Oryzias latipes: one gene and its partner. The protein of the gene in region 1 binds, or shares a complex with, the protein of each later gene. Links are inferred from orthologs where the notes say so. Each region holds a gene or a part of one and is shown on either strand. Other genes may lie near its edges.

Region 1 (3,809 bases):
AGTCTAAATTTTTATAAAAGTACAATTATTTTTTAAAAAAAAGGACATTTTACGAAAACAAACAGACAAATATGAGAAAAGGTTACAAAATAAAGTTGTGATAAATAAATAGTCGTACAATTATAAGAAAAAAAGGCTAAATTTTATCAGAATAATAATGAACTATAAATTATGGAAAATGACATTTAAAAAAAAAAAGACTGATGACATCACACGGCTCAAATATCTCACTAAATCTGCTTAACCTTTTTCCGTGACAAAGCAAGACTTTATAAAGTACTTTTTTCCCCCAATATTTCATGACAATATTCTTTATTCTCATAATTTTATATTTTATTTCCTTATATTCCATTGTAGAGATGCAACACACTTCAGTTTTAGACTTCTTAAATCAGAAATGTGTTCATCCAAAAGTAAAAAAAAAACGATATATGTGTATGTTTAATGTTTAAAAAAAATGATTTCTATTCCTTTTTAGTCGCAAGAGAGCGCGGGTGGAGAGCAGCCCAAGCCCCCGACCCTCCCCGAAGCGGGCGGCGAGAGACTTGAGCCCGGCCGACAGCGACGGCTATAATAGTGCCGAAGATAAAAGTGAGCGCCCTATTGGCCGAGGGCCGGCCAAGCTCCACCCACAGCCCCTCCTCCCCAGCCCCGTGTGTCTGCCTCCATCTGACAGTAGGAAAAAATCTCTTTAAAACAGACGCACTCCTGTTTTTGGAGGAAATGCGCCTCTGCAGCACTTTCTCAACCGGCATGCTTTGACTTCTGGTTTGGCTAAAATGTTTTTCATTTTCTGGCTGTCGGTGCAAATTTTACTGTCAGACAAAAAAATGTGGAACTTTTACCAAAGCAAACGTAGTTTTTCTTGGAAAATCTTTGCTAATGTTGGAGAAAAAAACGCTTTGAAATATCGACTGTTTCCTGTCCAGGTGGAGACAAGCACCGTCTGCACAGCCAAGTGGTGAGACCTCAGGATCGCCTGTCGCGGTCGCCACCGAGAGGCGCCGCTTCGGACGACAAAGCCCCCCACTGGAAAGACGAGGAGCGCCGAGGAGCTGCGGAGAAAAGGGAAGCACGGGGCCGAATCGAGGAGCCGGAGCCTCGCAGCGCGGAGCGATGCCGAGGAGCAGAGAGGCGCGGGGAGTACCTCCCTGAAGCCGAGACCCGCGGTAGAGGGAGAGACCAGCGCGAATCGAGTCCTCCGCCGCCGCCACCGCCGCCTCTTGCAGCCATCGCCACTCGCGGTGAAGACAGAGACACTGCTGGCTCTCAGGCCAACGAGGAGGGCAAGAAGAAGGTGAAGTCGCAGAGGAAGGGCATGAAGAAAGCTCGGAAAGAGGATGGAGCCGCCTGTGGAAACCGTCTCGCTGCTCCGGCGGAGCGGTTCAACCCTGAGCCTCCGCCCCCCGCCTCTGCAGACGTGCCTCCGCTCATGCCCTCACCAAGGAAAGGAGCCAAGAAGAAGGCGCTCGACCGGAAGAGGAAGCGGTCGCGAGGAGAAGACTCTGAAGCCTCTGAGGAGGACGCGTCGGCGCCTCCGCCTCACAGTAAGAAGAAGAGAGGACCTCGGACTCCACCCCCCTCCATGAGGCCGGACCACCGGGGAACCGGAGGCAACGCAGAACCGTCGCCGCTCTCCAAAGTGGACAACTTCAGTGACTGGTCGGACGAGGAGGTGACGGACCGGAGCGTCCCTATGGAGAAACAAGCCCCTCCCAGTTCTGGAGACAGAGCTCCGATGGAGACTCTGAGGAGAGGCGGAGCCCCCAGGATGGGCAGAGACAGGTGTAACCCACCTGCCATCGCCCCGCTGCTTTCCCAGGACCCCCCCATGCTGATGCAGACTATGGCCCCGCAGCCTCTCATGTTGCAGCCCGTGCTCCGCAAACTGCCCCCGGAGCAACCGCGCAGCAGCAGCATGGGGAGCAACCAGAGCCGGACGTCCTCCCGGCGCCCCCGCTCACCGTCCAACGAGTCGGGACACAGGGACGACCACCAGGGTCTGCGGCCGCGCCGGGGACGGCTGCATGGCGCCAACTCCCGAGATCGGGAGAGGGAGCGAGAGCGCGAGAGGGAGCGGCCGGCGCTCGGGGACGCTCCGGGAGCTGAGAGGAAGTCCAGAATCGACCAGCTGAGGAGAGGAGAGCCCAGCCGCAGCACGTCGTCAGGTACGTCTTCATTCTCAAACCGGATTTCCGCTGCTCCGTGCAGTGCACGCGTCTGCCTTGCGTTTCATGAGGAGTCTGTCAGTTAGTCTACATGAGCTCTATTGCGTCTCCAAGATCTTATAAAGTTCTATTTTGAATCCCACACCTGTTTCCTGTTCCTCTGGCTTTTTGATGGGAAATACTCCTGTAAAAGACGGACGTCAGACACGACGGAGGCGATGTACGCATTCCCATTGATTATTGGACGTTCTATTTTCTTGCCTCAACGCAAAGGAGACAAACTGCAGGCTTTATTCCGGGTAATCCAGATCCTGGAGATCCACCACCCACCTGCTGGCTTTTGGTTTCCTGGGTCGGGTGACTCCAGGATCTCCACCACCAGGGGTGGGAAAAGTAGTGGCCTAAACCTCGAATATTTGTAATCCAGCAGAGTCGTTTGTTTCACAGACCGTCAAGACTCCCGCAGCCACAGCTCCAGACGCAGCTCTCCCGACTCTGAGAGGCAGGCGAGGTCCAGGTCTCGAGCCGGCTCCTACGACAGCCGGGAGCGGGACCGGGAGCCGTTTGACAGGGACCGAGAACGCGACCGAAAGGAGCTGCGGCCCCAGCAGCAGCCGCAGCAGCCGCCGCTCCTCCAACAGCCCCTCCAGCAACAGAGAGACTGGGAGCCAGAGCCCAGAGACTGGCAGGGCCGTGGGCGGGAGACCCTCGGAATGCGCCCGGGTCGGGAACCTTTGATGAGGGACCGCGACGCCAGAGACCGCGAGCGCCTTCTCCCCGAGGGGATCATGCAGCAGCACGAACGAGAGAGGGAGCGGGACAGGGACGGCAGGGCCGAGAGGGGAGCTGATCGGGAGAGGGAGAGGATGATGATGATGGACCTGCCGCCACTCGGAGACCCCAGGGCTCCGGGTCGAGGAGACGCCAGGCAGGAGAGGGTTGACTATGAGCCACTGCTGCCAAGGGAAGCCTTCAGTCCTGCAGAGGAGAAACCCAGCAACAGTCACCAAGCTGTGGGAGATCAGAGGGAGCTGGAGAAGAACGACAGCGTGGACGGTAAGGGCATTGACGCAGAGCCATCCTCTGGGACCTGTCTATAACCTGGAGGGAGTAAAATCCTACTAAAATTCAGAAAGTATTCTTCTTACCCTCACCTCCTCCTCTCCTTAAGGGATTTTGTGTGCGCTGTGTTTTCAGGCGACGATGACGCTAAAGAAGAGGAGCAGTCTGTGGCGTCCGTTAGAGAAGATTATGAACCAATCAGTGACGACGAGCTGGATGTGATACTGGCCGACAGTCAGAAGAAAGAAGATCAACCAGAGGAGGAGAAAGTCACTGGTACCGATAACAAAGCATTTCTTTTATCGTAAGTTTGTTTACAGCAAGAAAGCTTCACGCCGCACCTCCTTCGTCGCCGTAGGTCCTCTGGACGTGATCGACGTGGACTGGTCCAGCCTGATGCCCAAACAGAAGCAGGAGCCGCGGGCCGCAGGAGCCGCCCTGCTCCGCTTCACGCCGGGCGCCGTGCTCCTGAGAGCGGGAATCTCCAAGCGCCTCGCCGGACCAGAGCTGCTCGAACAAGTCAAGGAGGTGTGCAAGTCGGAGCTGGACGATCCCAAAGGTGAGCTCTCCAGACGAGCC
Region 2 (3,654 bases), on another chromosome or scaffold:
TACAAGCTGGGAGTGTTGAGGGGCTTTAAGCTAGCAGAAGAGCGTGTAAATAGAGGGTGATGGGATATCAGCAGAGGGTCACAATTCAGAGGCGAAGCCTGATGAACTCTTGCCGTTTTAAAGAAAAAATGTCTTTAGAAAAACAACACAGGCTTTTGGCCAAAACAGCATAATCATAATTAAAAGACGACTGGAAATGGTTTAACAATAGATATAAATATAGTCGGAGTCCGACTGTTAAATGTGTTTATGCGTTTTCTTTTCTTTTCTAATGCAATGTGTTGGTCCTTCTTGGTCTCTCAGACAGTGGGACCGTCCCAGATGGCTCTGCAGTCAGGAGTGACAGCCCGGCTCCACCAGCTCCATCCAGCTCTCAGGAGGAGACAGAAAAACCACCGGATCCTGAGCTGGAGAAAAGGCTGCTGGGATATCTGTCTGACCTGAGTCTTTCGTTGCCTATAGACTCCCTTGCCATCAGTAATGAACTCAACAATGTAAGGTGGTTTTCTGGGATCATTGAAGAACCTGTTGGATGCGGCGTTCTACACTATGATTTCTTTGTTTATCTGTCTGAAGCCTGAAGCTGCCGCCAGTCATGGATGCATCCAGAGCCTCCTGCTAAAGTTCTCAGCTCAGGAGCTCATTGAAGTCCGACAGCCCACGTCCGTCTCTGCCTCCTCCGCGGTTCCCTCCTCCACCGTCGTGGTGGCAGTGGATCACACCAAGCTGTGGGCCATGATTGGATCCGTGGCGGGATCCCAGAGGACGGCGGTCAAGAGGAAAGCAGAAGACGTGGCCTTCAGTAGCAGAGCCGGCAGCTTCTCGCCTTCCCTTCAGAGCTCTGCTTCTCCTCCACGCTCATCCATCTCCTCCCTGACGCCCGCCTCCTGCTCCCAGCTGACTGGCTCCTCTGCGTCGGGGGGCGGAGCCGAGAAGAAGGGCAGGAGCAACAAAAGCCAGTCTTCTCACGTGGACATGGAGATCGAGAGCCTGTTAAACCAGCAGTCCACCAAGGAGCAGCAAAGCAAGAAGGTGATCCAATGTTTTTCTCTGCCGGAAATGAATCCTCACTCCTGATGTTTTCACAGATAGAAAGACGGAGGAAAGCAAGTAATCAATGTTAAGAGTCTAAAGTGGGATTTCAATGTATTTTTACACATCAAGGGAACGTTCGTGTACAACACGGATAATCAAAACAGAGAAAATAAAACGGTGTCTGGTGTGTGTAAGATTAAAGTTAAACAGAAGAAAATATAAAATCCAAAAGTCAACGATTAATTTGCCAAGAGGAAATAAGTATCACCATTTTTAGCTTAGTAAACATTTCTTTTCTTCAAAATCTACACCCATAATTATGCATTGCTCAGTGATATTGACTGATACATTAGAAACGAATGTAAACCTCATACCTGGAGATCAACCAAGTCTTTTCTACTAAATGCTGTTGAGTTTGTCCAATTATCAAAACCATTAACAATGTTGAGCAGCAAAACCGTAAGGAAAATTGGACCTGTGTTTGGTAAATGTAAAGAAGATGAAATATTACAGGGGTCGGGAACCTATGGCTCGCGAGCCATATATGGCTCTTTTGATGGTCACATGTGGCTCGCAGACGAGAAAAATATTAGGTCTTTTCTGGCCAAAAAGTGGAAAAACGTTTGAAAACTGCGTGGACTCAAACCACGAGTATGTTTGATATTTAATAAAATAAACTTCACGTCCTAAAAGTTAAGAAAATTTTTAATTTATACTCTTGTAAAATATCCTTTTGAGACATTTTTGTGAATGAGATAATATTAGAAAATATTTATTTTATTTGTTATGATTGAAGCTTCCAGCTTTAAAGCTAAATGTTGCTTCATTATTTTTTACATTTTTGGGGTCTGTTTGGGGTCAAATCAGGGTCAGTTTAAAGGGAAGTGAAATTCCAAACTGGAAATTAGTAAAAAAAAAAAAAAAAAAAAGCAGTTTTAAACTCAAAATTACACATTCCTCTCCTTTCCTCTCTTTTCTTTTTCTACTGTTGGAAGAGGCTTGGTGTGAAATGTCAAAGCCGTGCAAATCAGTTGAATCTTTGGCAACTCTATTCTCATAGATGAAAAACTTGCTGTCATTGAATTCACAAACTACAATTCTTCATTTCTCCTCCATGATTCATGTTCAAATGGTTGCCACTTTTGTGAATTAAAAGGAACACCATCCATACGTCACTACTAAGTACGAGTCTCTGACTGAAGTTCAACCTGGTTTAACTTTCAACACGCATTCAAAATTTGTTTAGATCCGCTGGAAAGTGAGAGCTTTGAATGCAAAAGCCTCGTTTAAACAGAGCTTTCAATGAAAGTGCTCTTGTTGCCAGGGGCGATGTGAACAAAGCTCCACTCCCACATAAAAATGGTCTCAACACCAAGAAATGTTGAAAATACAAAACAGCAGCTGTGACAAAAAAACATAATTTTTCATTTGGTAACAGTTTTAGATTTGTTCTTTTTTAACCCCTCCAGACTCGAATTTATTTGCAACTGAAAAAAATAAATTCCACTTGAGTTTTTGCTTTCAAGTAGATGATAAATTCAGTTAATTTTGCAGCAGAAGTGGTTCGATGCACATTTACATCAATAGACATAAAGGGGGTTTTAACTTAAGTTTCAAACTTAATTGTTTTTCTGATTTTCAATATTTCTTTTACCGCAAGTTTGAATTATTTTTGTTTCAAATTTTCTTTTTCAAAGTTTGCTTTTTTTTATTTTCTTTTTAATGTAATTTACAATCTAGTGTTTTATTTACTTTCAGCTGATCGTCATTTGACCCCAGGTTGGAGGTCAATGCTCTTTCATCATCATCATCATGTTTCTGAACATGTGTGCAGGTGAGCAGAGAAATCCTTGAGCTGCTGAACGCCAGCACCGCCAAAGAGCAGTCCATCGTGGAGAAGTTCCGCTCGCGAGGACGCGCTCAGGTCCAAGAGTTCTGCAACCACGGGACCAAAGAGGAGTGCGTCCGCTCCGGGGACGCTCCTCAGCCGTGCACCAAGCTGCACTTCCGGTGAGATTTCTGCCTCAAAGCCCAACATTTGACCCCTCGACTTCTTAAAGCTCACTCTGGTTTGATGTTGCTGAATTAGAAGAAACCACTGTTTTATATTTATATTAGAAAAAAAAAACTACCTATTTCAACCTGAAGATGGCGCCATTTATCTAACAAAAAGCAGCTCATCTAACTATATAGCCATTGCTTTTTGACACACATCTCATTAAATTCTATGGATGAACTTTTTTTTTTTCTATTGCTTTTTTGTAATTTGCTTTAATTCTAGGATAAAATTCAGATTTTACATTTTTACTCTTCTCGCTCATCTTTTTATTCTTACATTTGTTCCGATCAGTTCAGGTTTTGTCCGTGAAGCGAAACGCTTTAAATTCATGAGCTTAAAGGTTTTTCTGCTGTTTCTGCTCCTCAGTCGCATCATCAACAAGCACACAGACGAGAGCCTGGGCGACTGCTCCTTCCTCAACACCTGCTTCCACATGGACACCTGCAAGTACGTCCACTACGAGATCGACAGCCCGCCGGAGGCCGAGAGCAGCCTGGGGCCGCAGACGGGGGGCGCGGAGGTCAGCCTCTGCGCGGGGGACGCCGACAGCAACGTGGGCA

The links. The genes of interacting proteins can lie anywhere in the genome.
Region 2: zinc finger CCCH domain-containing protein 13 (region 1) and mettl3 share a complex: the UniProt entries of both Homo sapiens proteins name them as parts of the WMM complex. The link is inferred for Oryzias latipes from reciprocal best matches to the Homo sapiens genes ZC3H13 and METTL3.

The regions. Positions count from the first base shown.
Region 1 is NC_019860.2:22,017,855-22,021,663, reverse strand, and holds part of zinc finger CCCH domain-containing protein 13, read left to right. Parts: intron 1-478; coding exon 479-675; intron 676-929; coding exon 930-2,168; intron 2,169-2,615; coding exon 2,616-3,224; intron 3,225-3,365; coding exon 3,366-3,506; intron 3,507-3,588; coding exon 3,589-3,789; intron 3,790-3,809. UniProt on the Homo sapiens protein: Associated component of the WMM complex, a complex that mediates N6-methyladenosine (m6A) methylation of RNAs, a modification that plays a role in the efficiency of mRNA splicing and RNA processing.
Region 2 is NC_019876.2:17,633,404-17,637,057, reverse strand, and holds part of mettl3 (N6-adenosine-methyltransferase catalytic subunit), read left to right. Parts: intron 1-303; coding exon 304-494; intron 495-576; coding exon 577-1,032; intron 1,033-2,869; coding exon 2,870-3,045; intron 3,046-3,460; coding exon 3,461-3,654. UniProt on the Homo sapiens protein: The METTL3-METTL14 heterodimer forms a N6-methyltransferase complex that methylates adenosine residues at the N(6) position of some RNAs and regulates various processes such as the circadian clock, differentiation of embryonic and hematopoietic stem cells, cortical neurogenesis, response to DNA damage, differentiation of T-cells and primary miRNA processing.